Linked DNA regions of Kluyveromyces lactis. Each later gene encodes a partner of the first gene's protein in a complex. Links are inferred from orthologs where the notes say so. Each region holds a gene or a part of one and is shown in the gene's direction. Other genes may lie near its edges.

Region 1 (4,177 bases):
TATTTATACACCTATATATGCGCATGACTGTATACAGCAAATAAATGAATTAAATCTTGATAGAAATCGCCTTTGCAGACCATCCGATCATACCTATTCAGCTTTTTCTTCGTCATCTTCATCATCTTCTTCTGGTAATGCCTCATCCAGGTTGATTCCGGCGTCAGCGAAGGCTTGTGGATTGAAACCTTGTTCCATTCCAGGGAAGCCAGCGCCCCCCATTTGGCCAAATTGTGACATCAAGTCGTTATCAGCAGCAACATTCTCTTCTTGTTCATCTTCGTCAACCCATTTATCAAAGTCGGTTTTAATGTAATGATACTTAAGCTTCTCCTTGGTCAATCTGGGCCAGTATTCAAGGCCTAAATCTTTCTTCCTTAACACCAAAAAGTAGTTTCTACCGTTAGCTACCCTCTGCTCCGAGTTTTCCGTATCAATTGGCTTGTAGAAGTCAATGTGCAAATGGTATTTGATCCCATCTTTACTGTGATACTTAGATAGTGCACTGAATTCCAAAGAATTTTCGGTTAATTCCATTTTAGGGTTCGTACAGTCTGGAATATTGATGGTAATGAACAAATTGTTCTTGGTATCATCGGATTCGCTTGAACGTTGAGCCCATAAAACTTCTGGAGTGTGAACTGACATGTTAATTTGATTTATTGATTGGTAATTGGCGGTTTAAGTGTAATTTGTTCCAATTGTACTCTCTTTGTTTGAGTAACAGTTTGTATGTGAACGCAATATTTGTTATTAACATTTTCTGTAACTGCTTCAAATTTCAAGGTTACCTTTAAATATAAAACAGAAGAGCAGGAAGCTTCTAGATAAAATTTAACGATATGGGAGAGAGAGACAAGATACAACACCAACCACCACCAGTCATACATCCTTTTCCGAAAAATACCAAGCTAGCAATGTGCACTTACAAAGACTCTATATGTGGATCAATTTATAGACAGTGATGGTTGGAGACTTTCGAAGTTCTTTCAAGAAACCATCTAGGTCACGTGATATATATGTATATATATCCACACACTAGGATTGAGCTGATTTCGCCTCAACAAAGGGAAACTTCGACCTCTGAATTTTAGCAACTGGAAAATTTCCGCTAATCCTGGTCATTCGTACTGCGTATAGTATATTCATATGTATATATCCCTCCGCTGTATGCGTATGCAAGACTTATATAAGAAAGTGAAAAAAAAATTAGGTACTTGAGATTTCGTTTCTACTGCACATCATCAGCAATTAACGAAAGGTCTCGATCAAACCGAAAAGCAGTAACTCATACGGGCCATTCATAGTAACGGTCATTTGAATACTATGTCATTTAACACTAACGTTTTTACTGACTCTTCATCAACTTTAGGATTAGGCTACAATGGTGTTAAAGTAACTTTGAACTATTTCGATGGTCTACCGATATTGCAAAACGTTCAATCTACTGACTTGCAATTGTGTTTCAAGTCATTACTAAAGCGAGCGAATACTACCAAGGAAAAGGCTTTGAATGATCTTTTATCCTTTATACAAGATGACGATAAACTCTCTATTTTCCAAGATGATATGTTCATACTATCATGGTGCCAAATTTATGCAAAGTTGATCTCGTCTGATTCGAAGACTATAAGAATCCAGGCACATCAATTCACTGCTACTTTGATAGCGAAGTTTGGGAAACGTGTGTCCAAGTTTCTGAAAGAGCTTATCCCAATGCTTTTGAGTGGACTCTTCGATGTAGATACGGCGGTTGGAAGATCATGTTCTGATAGTTTGCTCAACTGTTTCAAGGACTCTAATAAAGTTAACTCATTATGGAAACTATTCACCTCAGAGATTTTAAATTTTATTAAACAGGTTATTATAGTAGAAACTGCAAAGTCCATATCCGATGAAAGATATTACACAAAGGAAGACATTTCATTGAGATATAATCAATTATTAATTGCATCCATCCGCACTTTAACTAAACTTATTAGTGTCGAGGAACTTACCACTGATCAAATGGAGACTTTGCACGAAATACTCACAGATGAAGAATTCTGGAATAACCTAAGTTTAAAAGATACAAAAAATTTGAAGGGATACCAGTCTCTTTTACATCTAATGATTGAACTTCGGTCTAGACAACTATATCGAAAAAACAAGGAAGCTTTGAAACTTGCCTCCAAGAAATTACTCGTGTCGTTGTCACAATGTAACGCAAAAACTCTTATTTCAGTATCATCTGTTTTACCTGACATTTTGAAAACGTTGTTGGAGATGAACAAGTACAAAGATGGTAAATTCTGGTCTTATGAAAAGAAAAGTAAAGAGCGATTACTTACATTCCTCTCATTGGGGCCTGGAATATCGGATCCAGTATATTACTCTTTGGCATATCAACTTTCTGCTGAATCGAGCATACTTGAACATCAAGAATGGCTCTCGATCTGGATCAAATATCTCGATCATGAAAATGATCGGCGGGTACTAGGTCGGAATGGATACAAGTCATTGATCGAGGCTTGGAAAAATTGCATCAAGTTTAGTATTTCATCATCGGACCAAGACAGCATTCAACAACTTCATCCTAACATCTTAAGGCTTATCACCACCAAAGACCTAAAGGAAATTCCTGAGCTTGTTTTAGAGTTATCACCTACACGCATCAACTATGCTTTTTTATACGATCTAATCATTGATCTACTTCCTTTGGGTAAAGGTGAAAAAAGAAAGGAAGTCTTACTTATATCCAATACCTGTCTCATTTTGTCCAGTGATATCACAACTATGCATATGTTGAGCGTTGAAGTTATGAAATCTTTGGAGGAGTTGGAAAATCCTGACGATCTTCCTTCTTGTTATGGCTTCATTTTCTACGATAACTTGATCAAAACCAATAACTTGAACCTTACCAAAGAGATTAATACTTTTATCGACGTATTACCCACGTTAGTCTCTGAGGCTTTCTTCAAAATTCCAATGGATGTGATGATAGATTTTTCAAACTCTGCATTCTTAGCGAATTCTACTTGGGAACAGTATTTTGACGATTTTATAATGGTTTTATCCCAATATGAAACACCAAAGAAGGCAATTCCTTCGTTTTTGGCTCGCTTGAATAGTGAATTTCTCTCAAAACTCATGCATTCAAGTCAATCCTACAAGGATTTCACCGAAGATTTTGTCTCCACTTATCAGTTTGATGATGATTCTATTTTCAAATCAAAAATACTAAACGGTTCTCTTCTACTCAGGTTATATGAAGCTTCTAAGAAGCAAGGTCATGTCAAGGCATTTAAAGATTATTGCACCGAAATTCCAGAAACAAGCGAAGCATATATAACTCTATTATCAAATTCAGATTTTCTATCACAGAGTCTAATTGTTGATCAAAAAGTTACAATACCAACTACAGCACATTCTGACCAAACAATTGCAAATGCTGTTTTTAAGACTGTTCTCGATACTATATCCGTTGAATGCTTGATAACGGAAGATAGCATTGATGAATTTGTTCTTCAACTACAACAGGAGTCCTTACTTACCAGGCTTTTTATTAGTTTAGATTTGGAAGTCATGTTTTCCAGATACATCAATAAAATCGATACACGCACATCCGTCACTTCTCCCTTAGGCTTACTGCCACATATATTGACAGCTAAAGGAGACGCTTCATTAGTCGATTATTTGAAATTGATTAGACTGTCACAAGTTGTGGATAAGATCTTAACCCGGTTCCCAGATGAAGTCAGTACTTCGCATTTGTTGTTTTTAACGAGATGCTACGAATTAACTGCTGATTATAATTGTTTGAGCGATGAACAAATAACATATTTCCATGAAAACAACATATTCTCCTCCTGTGTGAATGTCTCTTTCGAAGATTTGATCTCTTCATTTACAGAAGACCAAAGCAATGAAATTCTCACTGTTCTCTTCGACAAGAACTCTTCGGAGGTCACATCCTTTTACAATTGCAAAATTATCTATAGAATTTGCCTCAACAGTGTTGACTATCTCTCTATCTCTCAGTTTGATAAAATTATGGATGGCTTCTTGCGAACTGCTAGAAGTTTGCTTTCTAGCAAGGCATTGCTTGTCCCACGTACTCTTTACATGTATGCGATTTTCGCTGCAAGCTTCAAGTTTAACACAGTAAGTGCCAATTTATGTGTCTTTAGAAATTACC
Region 2 (4,265 bases), on another chromosome or scaffold:
ATCATGATTCTCATGTCGTGTCACCAACTATTCTAGTTTTCTAGAACTTGGTTTTTTTTTATATCATAAGAACATATATATAAGGGCCAATACACAAATGTATAATGATGAAAAAAGACTGAACTCCAATTAGTTGCAGATTCTCCAACATTTTCGCAGTCGAAAGAAATATTGCAATAAGTACCGATACGTGTGAATTCAAACGTTTAATAAGCCGATACCAATGAGTGCTGTTGCCCACGACGCTGCTTGTATTTTCTGCAAGATTATCAAAGGTATGTAAACCTCAAATTGTTAGGTGAGAACAAATATCTGTTTCTCCCCTTGGTTTTTGCATGCTCGCAACCACCCAAGTGGCTTAGACTAGCTCTTTGATCTTATGAACTATAATACTAACAGATTCCACTACTGGTGTACTTTCAGGTGAAATCCCTTCTTTCAAATTGGTTGAAACTCAGTATTCTTACTCGTTCCTTGACATCCAACCAACTGAAGAGAACCACATTCTTATCATTCCAAAGCACCACGGTGGGAAATTGCACAACATCCCAGATGAATACTTAGCTGACCTGTTGCCAGTTACTAAGAAGTTAGTGAAAGCCATTGGCTTCGACCAAGATGGTCCTGATGGTCCAGGGTACAATGTCCTTCAAAACAACGGTAGAATAGCCCATCAAGAAGTAGATCACGTGCATTTCCATTTGATCCCAAAGAAAACAAAGGATGCTGGATTAATCGTAGGTTGGCCTGCACAGGAAACTGATTTTGCTAAGCTGAGTGAAATGCATAAAAAGTTGCTTGCCAAACTAGAAACCTAAGCGCGATCTTTTTCGCAATGAAAGAGACCAAGATATGACGAAGATGACGAAGCTGACGAAGCTGACGAAGCTAACGAAGATGATCATTGAGATCGTCTCATATATATTATAACTACATATTTCCTACTGTACCAATTTCTACTTACCATTCACATAAGGAATCCAATAGCTCATTCGCATTGTGGGAGGGATCTTCTTAGAGAGGAGATGAAAAAATATTGTTACCCGGCCGAAATTTCACATATCCGGTGGCAAATTCTGAAATCTCTAGATTATAAAGAGGGAAGCGATTTATTATATATAAGTATTGCACACTATTTTCGGTGATCCTTGAAGGTTATTTTCAGGATTAACACCAGTAAGTGAACGCTAGATTAAATAAAGCACTCACCAGGGATTTACAATAATTGTCTCCTTTAATTGAATCATTGAATCACCAGATTAGGGGTTAGATCAAGTTATTTAATTTTTGTTTTATCTTCCGTCTTTTGGTTGAAATAAGAAGAAATAAGGTCCAATTTCAGAAGTTAATCAAGAAACCTGCATATCCTGTTTACCAAGAGCTTAATTACATCGTGGATCCTACCAGAAGGAATTACAGTATCTTTAAAACAACTTTTCACCTCAGTTATTAAGAGAACATGCCAGAAGAACATAAGAAATTGTTAGATAGTTCTGGCACTGCAGCTGACGCAGATGATGCTACCGCCACTGCCATCTTGAGAAGAAAGAAGAAGCAAAACATGTTACTGGTCGATGATGCAGTTAACGATGACAATTCTATCATTGCTATCAATTCTAACACTATGGATCTTTTACAATTGTTCCGTGGTGACACCGTTTTAGTCAAGGGTAAGAAGAGAAAGGACACCGTTTTGATTGTTATGATTGATGACGAACTGGAAGATGGTGTCTGTAGAGTAAACCGTGTTATTCGTAACAACTTGAGAATAAGACTCGGTGATTTGGTCACTATCCATCCATGTACCGATATCAAGTATGCTTCCAGAATCTCAGTGTTGCCAATCGCTGACACCATCGAGGGGTTGACTGGTAATCTATTTGATGTGTACTTGAAGCCATACTTTGTCGAAGCTTATAGACCGGTTAGAAAAGGTGACCACTTTATCGTTAGAGGTGGTATGAGACAAGTAGAGTTCAAGGTCGTAGACGTTGAGCCTGAAGAGTACGGTGTTGTTGCCCAAGATACTGTCATTCATAGTGAAGGTGAGCCAATTAACAGAGAAGATGAAGAAAATAACATCAATGAAGTCGGTTATGATGATATTGGTGGTTGTCGTAAGCAAATGGCTCAAATTAGAGAATTGGTCGAATTGCCATTGAGACACCCACAACTATTTAAGGCCATTGGTATCAAACCTCCGAAGGGTATTTTGATGTACGGTCCTCCAGGTACCGGTAAAACTCTAATGGCCAGAGCTGTGGCTAACGAGACAGGTGCATTTTTCTTCTTAATCAATGGTCCAGAAGTCATGTCCAAGATGGCTGGTGAATCTGAATCCAACTTGAGAAAGGCTTTCGAAGAAGCAGAAAAGAATGCTCCGGCCATTATTTTTATCGATGAAATTGATTCTATTGCACCAAAGCGTGACAAGACTAACGGTGAAGTGGAAAGAAGAGTCGTTTCTCAATTATTGACTCTAATGGATGGTATGAAGGCTAGATCCAACATCGTTGTCATTGCAGCCACCAATAGACCCAATTCTATCGATCCTGCTTTGAGAAGATTCGGTAGATTTGATAGAGAAGTCGATATTGGTGTTCCTGACGTTACTGGTAGATTGGAAGTCTTACGTATTCACACTAAAAATATGAAGTTGGCTGACGACGTCGACTTAGAAAAGTTGGCCGCTGAAACCCATGGTTATGTTGGTGCTGATATTGCCTCCCTATGTTCTGAAGCTGCTATGCAACAAATTCGTGAAAAGATGGACCTAATTGACTTAGATGAAGACGAAATTGACGCCGAAGTGTTGGACTCATTAGGAGTTACTATGGACAACTTCAGATTTGCATTGGGTAACTCCAACCCATCCGCATTGCGTGAAACCGTTGTAGAATCTGTTAATGTCACATGGGATGATATCGGTGGCTTGGATGAAATTAAGGATGAATTGAAGGAAACCGTCGAATATCCAGTCTTGCATCCAGATCAATACACCAAGTTTGGTTTGTCACCATCGAAGGGTGTGTTGTTCTACGGTCCTCCTGGTACTGGTAAGACTTTGTTAGCTAAGGCTGTCGCCACCGAAGTGTCTGCTAATTTCATTTCGGTCAAGGGTCCTGAGTTATTAAGTATGTGGTACGGTGAGTCCGAATCCAATATCCGTGATATTTTCGACAAAGCCAGAGCTGCAGCCCCAACTGTCGTTTTCTTAGATGAATTGGACTCCATTGCTAAGGCTCGTGGTGGTTCTTTAGGTGATGCAGGTGGTGCATCTGACAGAGTGGTTAACCAATTATTGACCGAAATGGATGGTATGAACGCCAAGAAGAACGTTTTCGTTATTGGTGCCACTAACAGACCAGATCAAATCGATCCAGCTATTTTAAGACCTGGTAGATTGGATCAATTGATCTACGTTCCATTACCAGACGAAACAGGAAGATTATCTATTCTATCAGCCCAATTAAGAAATACACCATTAGAACCAGGACTAGATCTAAAGACCATCGCTCAAGCTACACAGGGATTCTCTGGTGCAGATTTATTATATATCGTACAGAGAGCTGCGAAGTTTGCCATTAAAGATTCCATCGAGGCACAAAAACGTGCAGAAGTTGTCAAGAAAGAAGAAGGTGCAGAAGAAACCGAGAAGGTCAAGACAGAAGAAGACGTTGAAATGTCAGACGTTCAACAAGAGGATCCAGTTCCATTCATTACCAAAGAACACTTCACTGAAGCTATGAAAACAGCCAAGCGTTCTGTTACAGATACTGAGCTTCGTCGTTACGAAGCTTATGCTCAACAGATGAAGGCATCCAGAGGACAATTCGGCAACTTCTCGTTTGGTGATGATTCAGGTGCTGCCGCAACTCAAGCTGGTGCTGAGGGTTCTGGTGCAGCTTTCGGAGATGCCGCTGGTGAAGATGACGATGATTTGTACAGTTAGATACATAACCTTCACAAAACATAACAGGTCTTTTTCGATGCAAAATGAAATGTAATAAATTACAATACAGAGGAATACTTGTTGCTAAATTTACGTAGAGATTAAATATTATCTATTAATCACGTGTAACAGGATATTTGAGATAACTGGTTTTAATATGGTTAAAAGATTCATCAGTCTTAGCTATCCCTTCCAATTTTGGGTCTTGAATTCATCTTTAATTCGACCTAGTAGTGCAATGGTATATTTTCGCCAGGCAAAGCAATACAGGGTCTCCGAAGTAAAACCAAATTATATTAATGAATACATATAT
Region 3 (4,130 bases), on another chromosome or scaffold:
GTAGCCAGGGTTCTGCGGAGGTTGCATACCATAGAATCCAGGTTGAGGCGGCATAGCCATCTGTTGTTGTCTGTCTAAAGATTGAATGGCCAATCCTTCCACATTAGGTGCACCTTGCTGTTGAACCTGTGGTGGGGCTTGGAATTGTGTAGGGGCTTGAGGTTGCACCTGTTGTTGCTGATTACCGGAGCTGTTACCCCATAAAGATTCCATAGGTTGCATGTCCAGCGATTGTTCGAAACCAGGTTTACAGTCTGCTTGTCTGTTCATTTTGGCATTTGCAATAGATGCATAAGAAACAGGAGCTGGTGCTGGTGCCCTACCAGAACCTGAACCAGCGCCAAGCTCCCCTTTACCGTAACCAAAATCAAAATCTGTACCCAGATCCGCTCCAGTACCAAAAGTTTCATCATTGAGCAAATCATCTTCCTCTGGCTCATAATCACCCAAGCCTTGATACGTTTCTTCGAAATCTAAAGAATCCTCCTCGCCTTGCTGTTTCCTCTCACGAGGTTTTCGGCCCGTGGCGTCAAAACCGAAGAATGACATCGTTCAGTGATTCAGGAATATAAGGACTCCTATACTAATTGGGCAAAAATCGATTTCTAGATCAGAATTGTCGACAAATCCTATTATATTCTCTTAAAAACACAAGTAATGTGATTTAAGTCGCTACCTGCCTGCGTTTCGTTCAAGCAATCTTCCAACAAACGGTCTCTGAATATCTCTGATCACTTATTTTTGAGCATAGAAACTACTTTGCTTGTTAAGTGAATTACATTTTTGGGTTGTTGTTTGATGAAAAATTTCACCGTGCAAGATGATATACATATTAAGGATTTCTAGTTCAAAATTTGAAATTCAGGTCATGTGATTTCAAATATTTGACATTTTTCAACATGGTAGTTTAGAAAGTTCCAATACAAACTCGTACGTAGTCTTTCTTTCCTTCATTAGCAGCATATATAAAGTGATTGCGAATAGACAAAGATGACATATACTACTAACATCCTAGGTACAGCTATCTGGAAAATATATCAGCTTAGCAGTTTAGTCTTAAACCTAAGTAATAAAAGATATCTGATCTAATAGCAGTGACCAAGTTCTAATAATTTTAATCTGATTAGCAGTGAAAATACTGATTTGTATGAAGATCTGAATCAAGTATAGTGCTCGAAAAGAATCAACTCAGACTGGTAAAGTGGACTTAACTGCAACTTGGAGAGTACGAAATATCTAAACTATAATCTTGGATTTGATACTAGAAAATGAAACAGAGATTGAGTTCGTTAGATTTGCAACTGATATCCAAAGAGTTGGAGAATCAAATTGTAGGATTTCGCTTAAGAAATATCTATAACATTGCTGACTCAAACAGGCAATTCTTATTAAAGTTTGGAAAACCCGATTCCAAGTTAAACGTTGTCATTGATTGCGGATTGCGAGTTCATACTACTGACTTTACCAGGCCGATTCCCCCGACTCCTTCGTGGTTTGTTTCCAAATTGAGATCGTATTTGAAAGAAAAACGATTGACGGCAGTTAAGCAGATCCCAAATGACAGAATAATTGTGTTTACTTTTGCTGATGGTAAGTACTACCTTGTTTTAGAATTTTTCAGTGCCGGAAATGTGCTTTTATTGGATGCTGACCAAAAAATTCTTTTACTACAGAGAGTTGTCGATGATTATTCGATGAAAGTTGGTGAATTTTATGACATGGCCAACTTTGCAGAAATTAACCAAACTTCAACTACGGTTCCTGATCCTAAGGAATATTTCGAAAATGAAATAGCAGATTGGTTGAAAGAAGCCGACGTTAAAGCCAAAAGCACAATTGTGCCCGGAGAGGCTAAAAAAGGTAAACTCAAGGGAAAAGCATCTGTTCCGTCTATTCAAAAACTTTTATTTGTTCATGCTCCACATTTATCAAGTGATTTGATTCAAAACTCGTTGAAAGCTATTGGTATTGATCCATCTTCTTCGTGTCTTGAGTTTAAACACAATGTCTCTGTGCTTGTTGACTTAATGTCCTCATTAGAAGTTCAAGCAAATAAATTGATCTCGACTACGTCAACAAGAATAGGTTATATAGTGGCTCATAAGAACAAACTGTACGATCCTTTAAGAGACAAGCCGGAACTTGAATACACTTTTTCAAATTTCCATCCCTTCAAACCCTTTGTAGGAGATTCCACTGACGTCAAAATTATCGAAATCGGCGGAATGTACAATAATACCGTAGACACATTCTTTTCTACAATAGAATCAAACAAATATGCTAGCCGTATCCAAAATCAGGATTTCCAGGCTCAAAAAAAATTGGATGAGGCAAAGAATAACAATGAAACTATTATAAAATCGTTATTACATGCACAACAAACTAACGAAGAAAAAGGAAACATTTTGATAGCTAATGCAAATTTAGTAGAAGAGGCCAAGAATGCAGTTAAAAGCTTATTGGACCAACAAATGGACTGGCAAAGTATGGAAACTTTAATAGCAAACGAGCAGCGGAAAGGCAACAAGATTGCTCGGATCATTAAGCTGCCAATGGATTTACCAAATAATAAAATTACCATTGAATTACCAAAAGATGGGTACAGCGAGGATGATTCTACTGAACATCATCAGTCAGAAGCTGATTATTCATCAAACGAAAGTGATGTTAACCAATCAGATTCCTCTGTCTCATCGGATTATTCTGATTCTGATTTTGAAGAACTAACTTCATCCAAAAGTAAACAGCAAAGTAGAAGAAAATCCAAGATAACATCAGAGAAACGGGAAACTGTTCTGCTGACAGTCGATTTATCTTTATCGGCATTTGCAAACGCCTCCAGTTATTTCAACGCCAAAAAGGCGACATCAGAGAAACAAAAAAAAGTTGAGAAGAATGCTGAAAAGGCTTTAAAAAGTATCCAGCAAAAGATCGAAAAAGATCTACAAAAGAAGTCAAAGGAATCTCATGATATCTTGAAAGCAATTAGAACTCCATATTTTTTCGAAAAATATTACTGGTTTATTTCTAGCGAAAGTTTTCTCGTACTGATGGGTAAGAGTCCCGTCGAAACTGATCAACTTTATGCAAAGTATGTTAATGACGATGACATTATGGTCACCAATGCATTTGACGTGAAGGCTTGGATTTTGAACCCTCAGAAGACTGAAGTACCACCAAACACACTAATGCAAGCTGGTACTTTTGCAAATTCTGCAAGTGATGCATGGTCAAAAAAGATTGCATCCTCTCCTTGGTGGTGTTTCGCTAAAAATGTAACGAAATTTGACGACATTGATGGCAGTGTTCTTCCAGTTGGATCATTTAGAATGAAACAACCTAAAGCTAAAAACATGTTGCCACCAGCACAATTAGTGATGGGATTAGGACTTGTGTGGAAAGTAAAGACAGAGGATAGCGAGGAAAAAGAGGGTGAGTATGAACAAAATAGTGACTTAGAAGCATCTGACGATGATACAAGTCATACTTCTCAGCCGGAAACAAACCCAGTCGACCAAATTGATAATAATGTAAACGTTATTTCAAAAGAAATTAATGATCTAGGGTTCGATGTCAACAATTTCGATGAAGTGGCTTTAGCAGGAGAAGAGGCCACTGATGGGTACGAGAAACTCTCAAATAGTGATTTATCCAAAGGTGAAGAGGATTTTGATGAGAGTAAGACTATAGCTACTTCAATTGTTGAAAATATGAATACAGCGGTTCGTGGTAAGAGAGGGAAATTGAAAAAAATCCAAAAGAAGTACTTTGACCAAGATGAAGAAGAAAGATTATTGAGACTAGAAGCACTTGGAACATTAAAAGGTATTGAAAGAGAGAAGCAAAAAAAACTTGAAGAGATGGAAAGAGCCGAAAAGAGGGAGTTTAAAAAGCGGATACGTAAAAACCAAGAGCAAACTCGCATCTTGCAGTTTAACAAATCAGAAAAGGTCGAAGTTGATATTCCAAAATTTTTGAATCAATTGAAAACCGGTATTTCCAAAGATGATAAAATAGCTGACGTTATCCCTGTCTATGCCCCCTGGGCTGCTTTAACTAAAAATAAGTATAAAGTCAAAATACAGCCTGGCACTGCAAAGAAGAGCAAATCTATTAATGAAACTCTACAT

What was found.
Region 2: RKR1 (region 1) and CDC48 share a complex: the UniProt entries of both Saccharomyces cerevisiae proteins name them as parts of the ribosome quality control complex. The link is inferred for Kluyveromyces lactis from reciprocal best matches to the Saccharomyces cerevisiae genes RKR1 and CDC48.
Region 3: RKR1 (region 1) and RQC2 share a complex: the UniProt entries of both Saccharomyces cerevisiae proteins name them as parts of the ribosome quality control complex. The link is inferred for Kluyveromyces lactis from reciprocal best matches to the Saccharomyces cerevisiae genes RKR1 and RQC2.

The regions. Positions count from the first base shown.
Region 1 is NC_006039.1:1,243,900-1,248,076, forward strand, and holds the start of RKR1 (ubiquitin-protein ligase RKR1), read left to right. Parts: upstream 1-1,326; coding exon 1,327-4,177. Other genes in the region: Hsp90 cochaperone SBA1, read right to left, coding at 94-648. UniProt on the Saccharomyces cerevisiae protein: E3 ubiquitin-protein ligase component of the ribosome quality control complex (RQC), a ribosome-associated complex that mediates ubiquitination and extraction of incompletely synthesized nascent chains for proteasomal degradation.
Region 2 is NC_006042.1:553,093-557,357, reverse strand, and holds CDC48 (AAA family ATPase CDC48), read left to right. Parts: upstream 1-1,459; coding exon 1,460-3,952; downstream 3,953-4,265. Other genes in the region: HNT1 (adenosine 5'-monophosphoramidase), read left to right, coding at 224-275, 424-818. UniProt on the Saccharomyces cerevisiae protein: ATP-dependent chaperone which probably uses the energy provided by ATP hydrolysis to generate mechanical force to unfold substrate proteins, disassemble protein complexes, and disaggregate protein aggregates.
Region 3 is NC_006042.1:2,527,367-2,531,496, reverse strand, and holds the start of RQC2 (Rqc2p), read left to right. Parts: upstream 1-1,268; coding exon 1,269-4,130. Other genes in the region: deadenylation-dependent mRNA-decapping factor PAT1, read right to left, coding at 1-549. UniProt on the Saccharomyces cerevisiae protein: Key component of the ribosome quality control complex (RQC), a ribosome-associated complex that mediates the extraction of incompletely synthesized nascent chains from stalled ribosomes as well as their ubiquitin-mediated proteasomal degradation.